Linked DNA regions of Drosophila melanogaster. The protein of the gene in region 1 interacts with the protein of each later gene in a pairwise test. Each region holds a gene or a part of one and is shown in the gene's direction. Other genes may lie near its edges.

Region 1 (10,236 bases):
CGGTAAATCACTTGGCCAAAAGTCCCCCTGGCCACTCCCCCCCCCACAATCCACACCCCGATTCGGTCGTCCTCCTTCTGTTTTTGCGGCTCATAAATATTTGGAGAACGCGTGCTTCGCCTCCGGCTTTTGGTCGTTGTTGATGCTGAAACTAAGGCTGCTGATAAACAGGCTCAATGTATTCCCCTTAGTTTTTGATGCCAGTCAGTCATCCAGAGTCAGTCAGTCATTCAGTCAGTTACCCAGTCAGTCATTTGGGCATTCGGTCATTTGAAGCTTGGCCTGGAAAGCAAAATATTGTTACTGCGCCAATATGTTTTGCCAGATATCTATCTTTAGTGGCCCAGGCCAGAATGTATTATGATTTTGTACCGCTTTCGGTGTGTACTTGGTTACAAAATCGATAATAATATGAAATATTGACAGCCAAAAGTGGTCTTGACTTGTCTCGAATTGCTCTATAATTTGATTGCCGGCAAGATATGTATATAAATATGTATATATATGTATATTGGCATGTACATTTTCCCGGAGATCTTGTGACGCAAAAGACAACAATTGCTGGGGAGGCGAATTTTGGCACTTAATTCAATTTAAACGTAAATAATTGAAAGTAGTAGAAAAGATGCAGATAATATTTCTTGAACCTAAAATTCAAGCGAAATACATATTAAAGTAGTGTTTTTGGAAGTTCAAAACAAAATGGCAAGATGGGACATAGTTATAGGAGAATAATGTTTAGCTTTAGTTAGTCAGCTATAATCCTTATAGTTGAACAAAAAAAGATGCACAAAGAGACTGGATATGAGTTAGTTAAAAGCCAGGTTCAAAAATTTCCCCATATATATGTCTTATAGACAAAAAGCATCGCTGTCAACTTTTCAGGCTTGTTTGGCAGTTCTCCAACATCGCCACTTTACTCCCAACCATAAATTCAAAAGCGAAACCGGCAAATAAACACAAATTTACACTCAAACAGGGTTCGTTTGATATATATATGTATCGTGCTGGTGCTATATGTATGGTACTGGCAACATATCGTGGCAGAAACATAGCGATCCAAGTGTCCAGATATATCAACAATGTCGCTGTTAAGCGCCGGAGTCCGATGATTTTGGGCTGCCCCATGTCGCCACTTTTTTTTGTCACCGAACGAAAAGGGCTTCCGCTCCACAGGAAGGGATACATTTTCCCCATGCGTCACGTTAAAAATACAATAAATATACGCAAAACCTTTATAAGTTTTGAAACCAAAAACCAAAGCTGTGCGCTCCATTGCCGAACTATTTTATAAAATGTTCGAACAGACACGCCAAATTGAATCAGCAATGTTTAAAAGATTCAGCAGAAAAGTCCATTGCACAACAATACGAAATATTTAAAGCCTTTCATTCAACTGAAACGTGATGAGATTAAAGCTATCAATGTAAATTGTTAAATGAAGGGAGTATTTTTCATGCGAAAGAAGTCAAAATGGGTTTAAATGGTAAATGTGCAATTTTAATGGATTTTTCTGATTGTTAACACATTGAAATAGAATACTTATATACCATATATAAAATATATATTATATAAAATATATATATATTAAATTATTGTATGAGATATATCTTTCTTAAAAACGTGACAATACCAAAACCAATATCTAAACAAAATCATACTTGAAGTTCAAAAAGAATTTAAATACTTTTTTCGAACATTTAAGCAATACAATCGGAAGTCGCTCAAACCGCCACTGACTCATCCGCTTGATGTGGTTGCATTGTCCAGATGTAGATGCACTTTTTTTTTGGTATATGCAAATTTGGATTCATATTTTTGCAACTTTATTTTAGTTTTAATTGCGCGCACGCAATAATTTTCCTTGATGGCGCATCAACGTCAAGGCGAATCGCTCGCCAACGCTCCATCCATCATAAAAGGCCAGCCCAGCAGCGAGTTGGCCAAGTTGGCGGGTTTGGGAGGAGAAGGCTCTTTGATTATGAGCGCGTGCGCACAATCAGGCAGAAAAATTCACAGAGGCAACCAGAATCGACTTGGCTGGACTGCACTGTCCGGTGGACAGGGCGAAGCCAGAGATTCACCCAGTTGGGACTCGATTATCATTATCATTCAGGGGGCGCAGCGGCCATAAAAACGATTCTGCGATTCCCTCTGTGTGTTTCTGTTAGCCAAATGGCGTCTTGCGCCTTGTTTTGCATGCTGCGCTCGTTAAGAACGCCACCGAGAACAATGCAACAGTGGGAGCAGTACACTGAAAATAAAAAAGGGTAGTGCTATGGGGTAAATACTGCAATTGATATGGGTAGAAAAACATTAGAGGATCATTATGGGTAACTTGCTTAAGTATATATATAATAAATCTTATATCTTATAGATGTATTTTATAAAATAAATTTATATTTAATAAACTCATATTTTAAAAATCCTTACTTTCTAACATTTTTGTTAGACTATTTCCTTAGCAACATTTGCTTGTTTTAATTGGGCCATCTAACTTTTTACGGTGTAAGACCAGCAGCATCGACAGCAGTTATCCAACTGGTGTCCAGTAATGGGCTTAGCCCAAGTAAACCCCCTCGCCAACCGAAAACAACTGCGGTTTATAATGACGTATCGGGCAAAATAAGAATTGAGTCAAAGCCGCGACCTGCATATTGATTCGGCATGGATTAACAAACCTGACTCTCCTTCTCCACGGGCCAAGTAATAAAGCCAAGAATGCGAGACGTTTGCCTACTCATGACAATGCAATCCATTCTTATATAAATATTCATTTTAACTCATAGATCTGTTGGCCAGTAGCAGGTGCCATGCCTGCAAATAAGCCAAGACCAGTAGTCGCAAAGATCAAATCGATTTGTGGTGGACCTTGATGGTCAAAAGAGCTAATCTTTTAAATATGAATTATAAATATCACGAACAAGAACCACTTGATGCATTGGAAATGGGAATTTTTTACATTAACCTGGCTTTTAAAGACCAGCAATTATAGATAAATTATATGATGGTTGATACTTTTATTTAAGAGAATATATTGTTTAAAACTATAACATCTGTTTTAATTGACTTCTCTTGGCTTCTCTTTGAAAAGTTTATAAATCTCTTTGAGCCAAAACAGCTCTTTGGTATAGCTCTTAGCCAAAAGTCGTAAGACGAAAAATAGAAGAAAATCGGGCATAAAGTAGAGACCAATTTAATTTGTTTGTTTTACTAATCAGCGGCACGTACTCGCACGTTTTTTGCGTCAAAGTCTTTAGTGCGGTCTTTAGCTGAATTCTGTTCGCCGATATTGGAGCTCTTTTTGTTGCCATCGCTGCTATTGGACGGTACGCTTTTGACCAGGTCGGGCGTATCGGCTGCCGTTTGGCTAAACAGCCCACGTTTAAACATGGCTCAGAGCGTGCTAATCAAGTGGCTACGAAAACAAAATTACGCGACCGACTGAGCAAAAGCCAGCTTTGACTTTGTCTCGTTTTTCATATATTTGTGGTTACCTTTCCAGGGGGTTCTTCGATTTTTGAAAGAGGTTTGTAACACTGAAAAATATACCCACAAGCTTAAGGTATATATGAAGAAAATTTAAACGATTAGATGTCATTTTTGGTCATAATTAAAATCGAGTTATTTTTACAACTTCAGTATTATCAATGATATTGATCATTGAAGCTTCGAAAAGGGTATTTAGACATTGGCTGAAAAATATTTATTTTCCTCCTCTTTTTTTTGATTGACTTTGGTTTTTATGTTATTTGGTCGCGTTGCGTTGAAGTTGGTTTTGGCTTTGGACTCCGGTGAAGCCAGGGGATTTGGGGCTAGGGCTGGGCCGTCGTTTGGGTACGCTTTGATGGCTTCTAGGTGAAGGTCATTGTGTGACTGAAATGTTAATTTGACTGACTGTCGTACTTTTATGCCGGAGTGCCTGGGCTATTTCAGTTGTATCTTTTTAATGGCACTTGCTAAGGTTCTATACACCTAGAAGTGGGTATTCATGTCGGCTTAAAAACCACTAAACAAAACTCAAAACCAACTTTGATTTGTTGCGCCGCTGGTATGCGGCGATTTTTAAATGACTGACATTTGCTAGCAAGTCGACATAATATACAAAAGCATCAGAAAAAGTTTGAAATTTTTTAAAATATACATTAATTATAGAATTGAAGTTGAGGATATTAAAATAATTAAAAACATATTTGTGGTTATTATTTCAGTTGCCAGCAGAGTTTTTATATTATATAAAGAATTTTCTGAAACGTTTTAGAAATGACTAAAAACGATCCGTGTAACAGCTTACTTTGATTTCAATGGCGCAGTCTTAGACTCCAATGATGGCGATGCAAATGAGCGACATATTTGCAGACAAGTCCACCAGCAATTCGGTGAATGGGCGGGCGTCTGCTTCCCCGGAGGATAATGAGCTGCAGCCCCCGTGAATCGAGTCTGGTGGCCCATCTAATGGTGTTGTTCGCATGGTGGTTAGATGGTTGAATGCTGCAGCTACAGCAGCAACGATTCAGCACCGTTTTGCTGATGCGGCACACTCCAATGCCATAAAAGGGCATTAGCCTCGTGAGTAGATTGCATGTTTTTACCACAGGTTTTCGTGGATGGGCTCCCGTCTTTTGGGGTGGCAAAGTGAGGTTGTACTGGCAGCTGAGTGCGCGCGCTTTGGAAAATTGAATAAAGTGCCGGAGGAGCCAACGAAGGATTGAGGCAACGAAGCGGAGTAAAGTGCTCGATGCTGGCAGCCAAGTCATTTAAGGGTTGCCGGCAGCACTCACATCGGCCTACAAGGAAAGATGAAATACAGTCGCTTTGCTAAGTTTATAATCCCTTATTTAGAGTACATTTTCTGACTACCCAGCTAACTAACACAACTCTAGTAACTGACAGATGATTGGCATGGCCGAGAATTTTCTCAACAGACATAGCAATTATTTGGAATTAATCATAGACTTATTTGCATGACTGTTGATCCGCAAGTGGCAACGTGTCGTATGCGCAATGCTTGCTCTTGCTGGGTCTGCGATGATTCAGAGGGGACTCTAGTACCGCCCAACGCATAAATATGAATGAGGAAATCGAAGCAGCTTGCCACTTGGGCTTAGCCCAGACTGGATTTTCCAGAATTCCATTGAACTTATTACTGACCGACACGATCCATATAAAAACGAAAGAAATTGCATCTGGCTATGCAGTTGCCGGCGGTGCATTGATCAGCATGATGAGCCGCATCATATCATTGCTTCTCCTATTCGGAATCATTTGTGCTGCTCTAATTGCCGGCCATCCGCACGACCTTATTGAAGATCCGGAAGGTACCAATGATGCTTTGGAGGAATCTGGCAGTGGATACAACAGTGCCGAAGAGTTCATGAATGCAATGGACGAGCTGATCAGACGCTGGCAGGAGAACGATGCAGCTCATGAGAACTCAACTGACTATCCAAGTCTTGATGACGATGAGACGACTTTGGATTTTATGGATATTACCACCGAACCGGCTACTTAATATGGAATTATTTAGTAGTGCTGTAATGCTAAGTCATGCTATCCTATTGTCTGTAAATAATCTAGTTCTTCAATAATAATTATTAAGGGAAATAAAAGAAAGTTTTTAGAAATTTTAAAATGAAATCAATCAAGAGAGAATCAAGAGATCTTCATTTTTTGATAATGAATGTTGCCTACTCCGCAATTTCGATTTTAAGTACGCATTAAATACTAGTCATAGATTGAATTTAATAGCTCGTTTAGTATATCAATTAAGCTTGTGGTAAGCTGTGTTGCTGTTAAGCTGGAATTTCCCGCACTCACCTCTGTCTAAAAGTATACATATCACCTTTAAACCAACCACTTAGAACTGCTGATAACCCAGGGCAAGGCTATAAAAGCCCAGCTCAAGAGCCGACTGACATTCAGTCAACTGTAGCCAGAGCTAATCGAAAGAAAAATGCAATCCATTCTCCGACTGCTGGTGCTGTTTGGATTAATCTATACCGCGATCGGTGCATCGGGTATATTTCAGAATATAAACCTCGGTGGCGAAGGAGGAAGAACACGATCTTCAGGTGGCAACTTGGACTGGAGCGATAGTGTTCACAGTTCTGATGACGATAGGACTCTGAAGCTACTGGAATCGTTGGATAACAGTGGCAATGATAGAAATAATTGGGGCAACGATGCGGTGAGGAATTCTGGATTCGATACCGATAGATCCGCAGGAGACTCAAAGGAAGACGCTCGCGGATTCCAGTTTATACACATAGGATAAATGTTACGATGTTAAAATACTCAATTTAAATAAAAGAATTTTTAAAAGATTAAGAAATAAGCATTATAAAATGCTTTAGATTTTATTACTTAACAAACGTATTTATTATTTTATGAACTGATCTTATCTAACAAATCCAATGGGCCTTGACCCATTTCGAAATCAGTTCCGCCTGTTTCATCATTGAGAATTTTTCACTTTTACTGTCGATTTAAAATAGCACCCCTCTCTAAATATCTTTAATCATACAGCTTATGCTAATTAGGTGAATAATAAGTAGAAAAAAAAGAAACCAATTTTGAGCTTAGAATACCATTACGATGAAAACGAAAACAAAAAGAAATTAGCATATTTATGCGATTTTATGGTTAAACCAACGTTCTGTGTTAATAGCCGAATTTCAGTCTTCAGCATAGCGTTAACCAGTTATACATAACTATAACTAAATGAAGGCTATCGAGAGAAATTAAATCGATTTCCGCATCATGAATACATTTTAAGCAGTGCTAATCAGAAGAAAATGTTGCGCAAGACCTAAGCAAACTTACCTCCGAAAGTAGTTAAATTTTTCTTCTGCCCTTTGAACAAAATGGAATAATAGAAAATATTTGTTTGTAAACATACAACAGATCTAAATTTAATTACCACCATTAAAGCGTAATTTCTATCTCGGCAAATCAATCAAAAACAAACATCGAGCGGAACAATCAATTATTTCGATTACAATGCAATCAATTACTATGCAAATTCTCTTCGCACACAGCAATGACTGAATTCGTATAATTAAACAATTTTACGTTTAAATTTTGACTTAAATTTAAATGATTGCTTTTGCTAATTATTTACCCCGTTCAAATAACAATTACAGCAGCGAATTCGAGGTGTAAATAATGGAAACCGCACAATTGTGCTGCGTTTTTGCCGCAGGACGAGCAGCAGGTTTCTCTTTTAAAATTGCAATTATATTTAAACGTTTCCCGTATTAAACGCACCCCATTTTCCACGCACTTTATTAAAGACCCAGAGTTTTCTCAGCCACATTTAACGCATATAATCAGTGTTTTAATTGGCGCTTTAATCTTCATAAATAAACACACAAATAGCCGAAAGGATGTAAATTTCCAAAAGGGGAAAAATCATGGAAAGCTCGCACGACGAGTTGCGCGGTAAATAGAATGTGGTAATAATGCCATTAAAACTGTAGTACGTAATGATGTACGTGAAATAATTTAAAAAGTATGTTAGCTGCCGGCTATGAAAACTTGTTGGGTGTCACAACACAATTGCCCTTTGAGTCGGATTTAAGAACTTGATTACGCATACGCAACGTGGGCAAGGCCACATTGTCTCGACGCCCAACGACAGACACAAGAACGGAATGAGAATCGGGCTTCCAATGAGATAAGCCAGCCAGTTGAGGAGATGCCAGTGGTGGAGGTCATAAAAAGGGCGGAATTGAAAGAAATGAGCGCTAAGCACTCGAAATATGAACTGATGACACAGACGGCGGCAATCTTAAAGTAAATCCCAAAGTTAAAGACACTAGATGTTAAACCTGCCACGGAATCGGATTCGGATTGGGTTTCCACTTCCCCTCTATTCAGCAGCAGTGGCAGAGCTTTTACGCAGCCAACTGATTAAATTTATTTATTATGTCACTCTGCGTCTGTGTCTCACTAAATGGATGGATGGATGGCTGAATGGATGGGTGGTATCCCCTCCTCCAAGAGCTTACTTTATGGCCTGTTCTAGCTCTTAAGACCCATAATGGCAGAGCAATCGCTGGCTTAAGTCACCCTTCGGTTTTGTGTCCCCTCGTTTTCTTATCGATGGGGGGCAAATTGAATTTGGACTGCTGCTTATCAGACTTTTGTTTACTCGCTTATCGGGTATCCCAAATCTCTGCAAATGATATGAGATATACTGGCTCTGTGCCAAATACTTTGCTGATAACAAAAAATAAGTCTGTAACACCCGGCACAAAGTTGCAGTTCGTGTGTTGGAAGCACTTTCTCTTGTTATCGATTGCTGATACAACAAGAGAGAAACAATTAAAATATACAAAATACAAATAAAACAATAGACAGTTTGGGGTGGCTTTAGAGTGGGCAACATTAGGAAGCTCTCAACTCTCTAGCTTTTATAGTTCTTGAGATCAAGACGTTCATACGGACAGACTGGTCCCGCCGGTACTGGTCAGTTTTGTGGTAATCCCCTTGGCTTGTTTACTTCATTTCTACGTCTTTAAATAATATGTGTTTTTATTTCTTTTAATCATACTCTCTGTTACAAAGTAATTTACTGATCTTGGGGGTTCGATTCTTTTGAATGGCATTAACCCCCGTGGCTGGGGGATTCTGCCATCGATTGCTGGCCACAATTAATTACCACATTCGAGCAAAACAAATTCTGCATTTACCTGTTTTTCCTCTTTTGCATTCGCCCAGACAATTAACACAGGCAGCTCGATGATTGTTGTTGTCGTTGTTGCCCCTTCGCGTTTAACAAATGCAAAAATAATTATAATTAATGCAGAGTTTTTAGCCTTGAACTTGCATAACCTGCCGTAGCTCTCTCTCGCTCTTCGACGTAATTACTTTGTGGTGGTTCTGCTTTTTGGCCAGGCCAACAAAATCGTCATCGGCATTGTCATGACCAGTTCGTGGGTGAGCCGCAACGCCAAACAAATTTCGCATTCATATTTGTGTTTAGCCGCCACAAAAAAATGTAAAAAAAATTCTAAAACGTAGCTTAGCATTTAAATATTTTCAGCTTCGCTGAGCAGCGCGCGATGCAACTGCAAAACTGAGGGGGCAATAGATAGGAAAACTCAAATTCATATTGCTAACTAACATCTCTCTGCTCGCTTGTCTGGCCAAGTTCAAGGTGAGCATTTGCCGCGAAACTTGGCGAATTTCTGTGGAAACATCCAGCGAGCCATATACGATCTACCGCTTATTACTCACCTTTGACAAGGCCCCGAAACGATCGTGAATCTTAGCCTGACTCAGAGAATGTGGGGCTGGGACGGGGGGGCGGAAGATCAGTCAAGTGCAGCCAGTCCAGCTCATCCGAGAACGCCCTCGGGGAAAGGCGGACTGCTCCTCACTTACTCAGCTCGCTAATTAATAACTCAGCCAAGTCGGCGGTGGCACTAAATCATATTCATACTGCATGTATTCGCACAATGGAGGCAAAATGATCGGGTAACTAGGTATAGCTTCGTAGTTAGCTAATGCACTTTATCTGAATCTATTGCCCAGCGCGAAGAGATCGGGTTCTTACATTTAAAAGCCAGGTGAAGAAGGTACTAATGATGCATTCATCATAATCATTAAACTACCGGGTTATTCAAACGTAATATGCAATAGCAATTAATGATTTTAAGCACTTATAGAAAAAGATGAGTTATGCTTGCAATAAATACTATTTGTAAAGAACAAGTAATAATAAGTACTTATTGGATTACTATTCAATTATTCTTAACCATTTAATATATATATATATATATACAATATGTATATATGTGTGACAGAAAAGAGACTAAAATAGATTCTGCGCGTAATTGGAAACACATAGCAAATAGTTCTTAATCATAACCATAGTGTGTTCCCTCTATTCGATGCACCACTGACCCACTTCCATCATGAATGCGGCGCCTTCTTCTCCAGGGGGCAAAAAGTCAAACTGCCTTGTACCGCCCCTCCATATTCCCCTCATTATCATCTCATATTTGCCCCGCCACTTCTTATGCAACATTTGCAGATGCAATTCTTTTGAGTTTGCTCTCGCTTTCTCGGCTCTCGGTTCTCTGCTCTTTGCCGGCTGCAATTTTATTGCTAAATTAAGTAATTGGTACAAGAAGCCGCCTCCGCATCCCATCCGGCTGCCCTGCATTCGCTTTGGATTCTGCAATCTAAATGTTCAGCTATGTTTGCCTTTGTGCGAGTATCTGGGTATCT
Region 2 (9,896 bases), on another chromosome or scaffold:
GACAGTAATGCGCAAACTAAAACTATTTGCATAAGGGGATGTTGCCGCTTTGCAGTCCTGACCTTCGACCTCCAGCTGTTTGACTTACATACAAGTAAGAAAATAGCAAATATTAGGCGTTTTAAAAAGAGGGGCACACTTACTGTTAGTTCTGAATCTTTAATGCCCATAATTTTTTTAAAGGGTACGGGGTAAAAAAAGTTTCTAGTCACAGAGTTGCCGTATTCGTCCTCCAAAATGATTTCCAAAAACAGTTCTTCCTTCAAATGTTTATGTACAGCAAATATTCCAAAGGTATTTGCCGCATCTCAAGTTTATTGGAGCCCTGTAAATGAGCCCTTGGTAGATGATATTATTGCCAATATAATGTCTTGGGTGTCTCACCAGTCCAAAAGGGCGAGCAATAGTCTTCTTAGGAATCGAGCCCGTCCATAGATAGGTGTTCACCAGTACATGGTATAACCGCGAGTCTCTATGCTCGGAGAAGTCCTCTCTTGTAAGCGTGATATTGAGGTTTTTTCGTATAGGGCTATAACACTCGTTGGGGCAAGAAGTTCCTTGGTCCAGTAGTATAATAGCTTAGGGTTTCCGTAGAAGTCGATGCAGGACCAAGTTGGAGCCACCCAAACATCGTTTAACTGCCATATAAGAGCTCCCATTGTATGGTTTCCTGTGCGTAGACTACGAAACACGTCCAAAGCGGTTTTAGTTGCCATGGCTTGTGTCACTTGGCTAAAATATAAAAACATCGATATTTTCGTCCCAATTTTGGGGAACAAACGGAAGCTGATAGGCAATCAATTGGAGTATCGGTATGAATCCCTTAGGGTCGTGCTGACGGCTTCGAATAAGTCTCGCAATTTCAAGGTCGCTATTATCTGCAGAATCAGCTAGTGCCCTTTGCCACGTTGATTTCATTGGAAGGCTAGAGTAACCGAATTCCGAAACAAAGCGTTTGGATACGTTTCAGGGCTGAATCCATCTTTGTCGTCCCAAAAGTGCACTAAAATAAAAAACAAAGGTAAAATAGACGTAGACGGAGAATTTCCAGGAATAAATTTGTGAAAAGCAGACTCACCATCACCTGTAAGCTTTGCGGGTTGTTGGAGAGGTTTTTGCCAGACTCCTGAACACCTAATGAAGGCGTAGAGGCCATGGGGTCAGGGCGAGGACTAAAATCTTTACGAGAGATAACGTTTAACTCTTGAATTAATGTTTCAATAAACAAGGCTTTGTAATCACTATCCATTCTAGTGGCGTTTTCTCCAAAATCAGATTTGTTGCTTGACAGGAATAGCTCAATCTCATTGTTGGTGACTATTAGGGCTAAACTTGGATGATAAGAAAGACGCTGTGCATTCTGTACTGTCTCAACGCACACAGAAGCTACAAAGTCATTTGCTAGCGGGTATGCTGCTTGAGAAAACGCCAGGTCCTGCCACACCAATAGTCCGTAAAAGTCCGCTAAGTTGTAGAAGGTATCCGACTCATAAAGGCCGCCACCCCAAACGCGTATCATGTTCATATTGGCCTCGTTTGCGGACTTAAGCAAATGTGCGACTTAATTGGATTTCGTATAATAAGCTAATTTATTTCTGCTGCCATTAGGTATATATACTTACCCGCATCGGCATCGGCCGATAACTCCGGAAGTGTGTGGGCTGGTACATAATTCGCTCCTTTCATGAATATGGGATGGCAATTGACCCGAAAAAAAGGTTCTGCCATTGTCTAAATTCAATAAGATTAGTTTTTACATATTTTAAGACCAAAACAAAAGGTAACGTTATATCTAGGACCCTAAACTCTACAGGGGACGCTTTGGTTTACGGCAAGACCGTAGCAATTAGGAAGATAAATTAAAAACCAGATAGAGTGCTATAGTCGAGTTCCCGACTATCAGATACCCGTTCCCTCATCTATCGATAGATATTGGAGAATATAATGAAATATGTTGGGTAATTTGTGGGCGTTAGCGTCGGCGAGGCAAAAAGTTATTTGGCAAAATGATAGGAATTTTCAATATCTAATAAAATATAACAAAAATATTAAAACATTTTTAAAATGTGTGGGAGTGACAGTTTTGGGGAGTAAGTGGACATGGCAAAAAGTTTTATCGATAATTTTTAAAAGACTATATAATATTTAAAAGGCAAAAATTAAAACTATTTTTAGTCAGTGTAGCAAAAAGTTTGTTGGCGTATCGATAGAAATTTACAAAACTAACACAAAGATCAAAAAATATGAAAACTTTTTTCAAAAGTGTGGGCGGGGCAGTTTTGGGCAGTATGTGGGCATTATAGTGGGGCGTCACAACGTGTCTCAACAAACTTGCGCCGTATCTATGTTTCTAGAATCTGTATGTTCAACTATTGTATCTTAACCTTCAAGCTTTTATAGTTCCTGAGATGTCGACGTGTATACGGACAGACGTACATGGCCAGATCGACTCGGCTATTGATCCTGATCAAGAATATACATACATGTATATACTTCATATGGTCTGAAATGCCTTTTTCACTCTACGAGTAAAAAAACATGTATGAACACTCTAGGCGACTTCTTCCTCGTAGCAAAACAGAACAACTAGAGAGTCTCTGGATCTAACATTTTCAAGACTATCTTAGGGGATATTATCTGCATAGCTTGAGCTGCGTTTATGTCTCTGACATATGCATATATGCATGTTTAATCAAAACTTTCTGGCCTTTAGTTTCTAAGATCTAAACAAAATCTCGACGCTCATACATACAGATTAATATGCGGACAGATATGGCAGAGTCTTCTGAAGATTACGTTGGAGGGCTTGACTTCGCCCCCTTAGGTTTATTGACTAGCCTTGTGGCGTAGCAATGTAGATAATAAGTACAATTATTATTTGCGGCTGTAAGCCGGAGCACGTTCTGATTTATTTGGACACAAAACTGAGACTAAAGAGTTGACAAAACATGGAGCTAAGTTTACCCTAACAGCAATGCATTGCGCCACCAAGACGAGTCGGCAAAGCCGACTCAGCATTCCTTGCAGCGTGAAGCAACACTCCGAATAAGAAGTTACAGCTTTCCGTTGCCGGACGTTCTTTGCGCAGAGCACTGAACACAATTCTGGCGCTACAGCATTCTTCATATAGAGCTACTTAGTTGCTATGAATTATTATGTTATGAGTTGTTAACTTATACACTAGTGGGCATAAGTATTTAGACACCATTAGCTTGCAACTGCCGGGCTATGCTTTTCATAGTACAGTCAAATAAATAAGTAAACTATTGGCCTCGACTGTGCCAAAAAATATGTTGGTCAGCCTGCATCATTCTGGAAAAATGTTTTGTGGAGCGATAAAACCACTTTTAAGTTTCATTGCTCAAAAAAATTTTTTTTTTTAGATTACCGAAACAATATCGGAAAAAAGTGGCACCAGTATGTCAGAGAGTAAATCATTCAGGAGGGTCTGTTATGTTTTGGGGATGCGTAGCCTTCACTGGCTTGGGAGATTTGGTTCCTGTTGATGGAACCATGAATCAAGGAAAATATTTAGATGTCCTTAATAATCATGCATTCCCCTCTGGTGATAAATTGATTGGAGAGTCCTTCATACACCAGCAGGATATTGCTCCCTGGCATAAGGCCAAACTGATTACGAAGTTACTGAAAGATGTTGGCGTAAACACATTGGATTGGCCACGTCAAAGTCCAGACCTCAACATAATAGAAAACCTCTGGTCATATTTAAAAAGAAAAAGGAGTGCAAACTTATCTAGAAGTCGCGAAGAAACGATTTTGGAAATTCAAACCTTATATTTCAATAGATTATATCCACAGCTTGGTACAGTCTGTACCAAAACGTCTGCAAAAGGTGACGCTAAGGGAGGGTATATTTTTTTATTAATTTGTCATAATTTTTTTTCAATTTATAAAATTTAAATAATTTGCCCAAATACTTATGCCATTGCTAATTTGTAAGAAAGTGATTTTTGTTAAATCAACAATGAAGTTATCCATATGTTTATGTTACCTCTACATTTAACTACGATAGCCTACCTATTTACTAAAATTATTAAACAATTTTGCTTTAAGTAAACAATAAGTTACAAACAAATATATTGAAAATATTTCTTGTCCAAATACTTATGCCCACTAGTGTATATATATGTATGTACTTCCGTAGAGTGCCGCGACTATTAGATACCGCTTACTCAAATAACTGAAGTGCGACAGATGTGCAATCAGTAGAGACGACTCTTTTCTATTAACTTTTTTAACTTCTATTAACTCTTTTTTCATAGGTTTCTACTAAATCAGATTCTAACAGTTCTTGGAACGTAGATAAGCATTGATAAGCTTAACTTAATATCATTAACGAATACGTTCAGAATGTAGGCAACGGGTATCATAAGCAGAATCTTCAGATAAATTACCCGGCACTTATAGGAGGTCTTATTTCTCAATGTCCATTTTGTAAGCTCTTCGACAAGAATGGTTTTCGCAAAGTTATTGGGGATAAACAATATAAGCACAAATAAGGTATGTATTCCGACCATAAAAACGCGTTGTTTGTCTTATTGAAATCTAATGGTCGGTCTCACCGTCACACTGTTTTGTTTTTTGAACGAACGATACCGCTCCCAAGTGAGAACTGCCGGTTGAAGACTTTGTCGACCTCGAAGTAACAAGTCGACAAAATGTGGTAAAAGCTATCGATTAATGGGTTCATCGAATAAGTAATGAGAAAAGAAAATAACTATAATCGATAGGCTTTTACTTAAATTTCATGACGAAAGTTTCGGAGCAATCGGACGGACAGGGTCAGATCGACTCGGCTATTGATCCTGATCAAAAAATATATACTTCAAATGGTCGGAAAAGGCCTTCGGCATTTTACATACTTTATAGGGTATACTAGCCTTTCAAATGTGTAGCCATTGCAGTTTTGGTCAGCATGCGGGTGTGTAGGGGTCACAAGAGTCTACATGTCCAATGGTAATGCCCATGTAATATACATGATTTTCAAATTCACATTACAAACAAGAAATGCTTGTTTGGGCTTTGCTGATGGGTATCGTGTTAATATCAGTTGGAATCATAGGCATATCCGTTAAAAAACCTCCCTTTTGAATTTCGCATTTGGATTTGGTTCAGATCAGCACTGTCAACCTCATGCCCATATACAATGGTTCACAGCTCAGTTTAACCAAAGACAATAGTATATTCTATTCGCAACAGCTTTTAAAATTTAAAAAGAAATATCTTCTGAACATATCTGTAAGTCTCACACTAGCTCACACTTCTTTGCTGGCAAATTTATAAAAATTTGAATCAGAATGTATTTCCGAATATTAAATTTAACCATGGATATGCGCTTTTTATTTAAAATTGTTTGTCTGGCACAGCTACTAGCCCCCTGATATTATGCTGAAGAATGTTTCAGAAAACCACTAGAGTATACTCGCCCAGCGCCCTAATACAGACGGTTACTCATCATACTTAATTCTTTTAGGCATGCCGTCGAATTCAATTATTGTCAGGACAGCATCAAAGTTAGTTTAATCAATCAAGTCAATCACAAGTCAAAGTCAATTTCTGTTATCTCAACACCTCTAAACACTTGACAGCCGCGGTAACGGAATATTAAACAGGCGAGAAAGATGGCCACAAACGCAATCGTATAAAAAGGAAGCGCCAACTTAGATGTTCACCAGTCTGCCAAGGGCACAGTAAAGCATGGGACCTAGAAGCTGTACGCACTTCGCCACGCTGTTTATGCCACTCTGGGCATTAGCCTTCTGCTTCCTGGTGGTGCTGCCGATCCCAGCGCAGACGACTAGTCTACAGAACGCTAAGGATGATCGGCGACTACAGGAATTGGAGTCAAAAATTGGTGGGGAAATCGATCAGCCCATTGCGAATTTAGTTGGACCATCATTCTCTCTATTCGGGGACAGGCGTAATCAGAAAACAATGAGCTTCGGTCGCAGAGTGCCACTAATTTCACGCCCAATAATACCAATTGAGCTGGATCTCCTCATGGATAATGATGACGAAAGAACGAAAGCTAAGCGGTTTGATGATTACGGCCATATGAGGTTTGGTAAAAGGGGAGGTGATGATCAGTTCGATGACTACGGTCACATGCGTTTCGGCCGATAAACACTTGCCATCAGTTTAGTCATTTAGAAAACCGATTATGTATATTGTACATAGAAATTAATCGAGCACACATTTTATATTAACAAGTATATAAAAAGTAATAAATGTTCGCATTCAAAAATTTAATATTTCGTATTATAGCCGAATTCTTAGAGTAAGCTATGATGGATTCATTGAAAAAAGGATTTTTAGTCCCTTGCATATAGGTGTATTGATTCCTAGCAGAATTTATCACCGCGGTAAAAAGCCTCCATTTATCCGGTATATAAAAAAAGGGCTGCACCTTCAATATATAAAAAGTTTTATTTAATTATTTGTGACGAAAGCATTTGAAAGGTTCTCCGACTTTCGAATTGTGAATACCTTTTAAAGACGCATCGGATTTACTTAACAAGAATTATTGTCGTTGATGTATGTTTCCCTTAGGCCCATTTATATACAGCTGTGTTCAGAAAAATAGCAGTGCTTTGGACTTGAGAGTTTAAGATAAAAATTTCCTATGATTTACAGTTTTAATGGGAAATTTTTTTTTATAATATCATTAGGTATTTAATTTCAAACAATTTAACAAATGTTTCACTTTTATTTCTTCAATAGTTTCGAAAATATAGAATAAAACAACATAATAGGCAGAAATTCTGGTGTTCAATGAAATAGCAGTGCTATGAAAAAATAGTAACAAAATTAAACTTGACTTAGAAACGAACTTAGTTTTTCTTTTTAATATGTTAATTCGGGCCTAATACTTGGCTGGAAAGCCTTTGTTAGCCAGCACAGCCTTACACCCACGCGACATGGAGTCCACCAGGTCCTGGCAACGTTTGGGAGGAATTTTTGCCCATGCATCCTGGACAACTTGCCAAATCTGAGCCTTAGACGTCGGGGACTTCTTCGACACATATTGTTTAATGTCCCCCTACAGGTTTTCAATCGGGTTTAAATCGGAAGATGGTGCTTGCCACGGCATTGCATCTATTCTATTTTGGGTGAACCTATTCCTAGCCGACTTGCATCTGCGTTTCGGATCATTATCCTGTTGGAATGTCCATTTTAAGGGCATATTATATTCAGAATATTACAGTAAGACATCTCTAAGTATATTTACATATGCGTTTTGGTCTATAATACCATAAATCATATGTTATGGACTCATACCATTGTAAAAAAAAACAAGCCCATACCAGGATTTTAGGTCCACCGTGATTGAAAGTCTTCAGTGGGTGTTTTGGGTGGTACTCGGTGTTTGGAGGTCGTCAGATATACTGTAGTGAACCAGTTCCACCAAATAGCACTATTTTTGACCGATCAGTCCAAAGGATATTACGCCATTTGCAGACTGGCCAGTTTCGGTAGGTTTTAGCGAAGGTGAACCTTGCCTGAATAAGCCTTGGGCTAAGTGGGGGAACCTTTCTTGGACTCCTCGCACTGAAATTTTGATTCAGTAGTCGTCTCCGAATAGTAACGTCACTGATTCCCAAGTTCAGCTCAGACTTTATGTCCCTAGAGGATGCAAAAGGATAGGCGTTGCTCTAACGAACTATGCGTCGATCCTCTATATCTGTGGTTTTTTGTTTGGTACCACGGGTTTCGGGCTTCCATTCATATTTAATGGCATTGGATACCATTTTGGAAAACATTCAAGGGTTTTTTGAATGTCCCTTTATGTTTTTCCTTCCTTTCTTAGCTTATGAATTTACATTATTTTCTGCTGGGAGCAGTGCTGTCCTCTATCCACTAAAATATAATTTTTATTTTTTTTTTAATTAATTGCCCTTTTAAATATACGAATTAACTTATCCAAACTCACTTTTTAGAAAATAATGATCATTTCGGAACTTTACGTTGGTCAAAACCAGGCACTGCTATTCTTATGAACAGCCTAAAAATTGCGATTTTGCTCAAGAATGCAAATAAAAAAAGGATAACATGAAAAACTAACCGGATTTTCTTTTTTTCCTTATCTACACATTCCATTTAACAAAAATAAGTGGAATAAAAAGTCAATTCCGAAAAGGGACATGGAAAAATACCTTTGTATTACTTAATTTCCTTCGCACTGCTATTTTTCTGAACACAGCTGTACATATGTATCTAAGTTCTAACTTGTATATACTGTATAACTTGTATGTACTGTATATACTGCTATATTCCGATTGGGTTCACTCGTTAAAATTAGTCAACCACAGCTCATTTTTATTTCTATACACTCTTATAAATGAGTATCGTCCGTGATAAGCGGACTCCGTTTTACTACAGAGACTCAGTATTGCTGAATATGTAGAAAGCGCGTTAAAGACTTGCAAGCTTTCCACCCGAGCTTTGTAAATAACTTCATGGGGGAGAGCCTTGAAAGCTTCAATGGAGACAGACAAGCTTGGTTGTAGCTTTAATACGCACAGACAGAATGGACGACAATAACATGGAGAACTTATATACATTTGTATTTAAATTATCAACAGATGTCGCCATTTTGAAACAGGTGGCGTTTTTTACTTGAAAATATTATACATATTTGTGCTGGAAGTAAATGTGTAGAGAAGACGTTACTTAAGACCTTAAGTTTAGTTTAAGTTATATTCTTTGTGTTTCACCTTCCGGAAGTCTTTCCGCTGCAAACTCATGAAATGAGCGCCAAGTGCTTGACGCCTCCTCTTACCGGTTTTGCTAATCGCTTTTGCAAAGAATGCTGACCGGATTGTCCGCATTCCACATATTCAACCACACACACACAGTCTCTACACATAGAGGTTGATACCAACACCAAGCACAAAATTTGCAGCACAAAGGAAAGTATCAGCGAGTTTGTCCATAAAGTGTAGTCTAGGCTACTACTACACCGATAGGCAAACGCACACACTTGCAGAGAATTATGTGTACAGCCCAGTCGTAGCTTTCAGCCAAGTCATGAGTGTAATCCAAGTCCAGTGGGTCTGGAAGGCTGTGAAGTGAGCACACTGCTCAATAAGAGAAGTCAGATGTGCTGCGGAGTTTCCCGGATTATAAGAATATATGGTCAACCTCCCTAAAATACTTTATTCTTAACAAAGTATTTATTTGTAGATATTATATTTATTTTCGTTCTTTTTCTGGATATTAACAGAGATAATGCTATAGTCGAGTTCACCGACCATCAGATACCCGTTACTCAACGAGTGGAAATGCGTACGCGAAATTTGATAATTTCTTGGAAATATAGGGGTATAAAATGAGAAAAATATGTTTCAAATTGTTCAAAAGTCTGGGCGGGACCATTTGGGTCGTTTTGTAGGTGTATAGAGAGGCGTGGCCAATGTGCTTTTTGTATAGTGATAGAAGTTGGCAACACAAGACATGACAATGTGGGCGTGCCAGTTTTGGGCGGTAAGTGGGCGTTAGAGTGGACGTGGCTAAACGTTTTTTGGGTAAAAAAAGTGTCAAAATATATATAAAAAAACTTCAAAAATGTTTAGCGTGGCAGTTCTGGGATGTTTGTGGGCATAATTGTGGGCGTGGCAAAACGTTTTTTTTTGTTGCTAATCGATAGAAATTTACAAATTTATTTATTTATCAAAATATTTTTCGAAATTGTGAGCGTGGCAGTCCTGGGCGGTTTATGGGCGTGGCAACATTTGAAAAAAAATTTGAGCAGCGCTTATGTCTCTAGAATAAGATTGAGAAGATAGTGGAAGAATATTTCAACGGAGCTCAACTCAACATAAATGAATAGTTGTGCCTTATTAGGTTTATGAAATAAGTGTGTGCGCTCTCTTGTA

The links.
Region 2: the proteins of CG9928 (region 1) and Dsk interact in a two-hybrid assay, tested with the Drosophila melanogaster proteins (one large-scale study listed by BioGRID).

The regions. Positions count from the first base shown.
Region 1 is NT_033779.5:13,138,583-13,148,818, reverse strand, and holds CG9928 (uncharacterized protein), read left to right. Parts: upstream 1-5,915; 5' UTR 5,916-5,953; coding exon 5,954-6,274; 3' UTR 6,275-6,374; downstream 6,375-10,236. Other genes in the region: CG16978 (uncharacterized protein), read left to right, coding at 5,222-5,512.
Region 2 is NT_033777.3:4,186,056-4,195,951, reverse strand, and holds Dsk (drosulfakinin), read left to right. Parts: upstream 1-5,691; 5' UTR 5,692-5,718; coding exon 5,719-6,144; 3' UTR 6,145-6,260; downstream 6,261-9,896.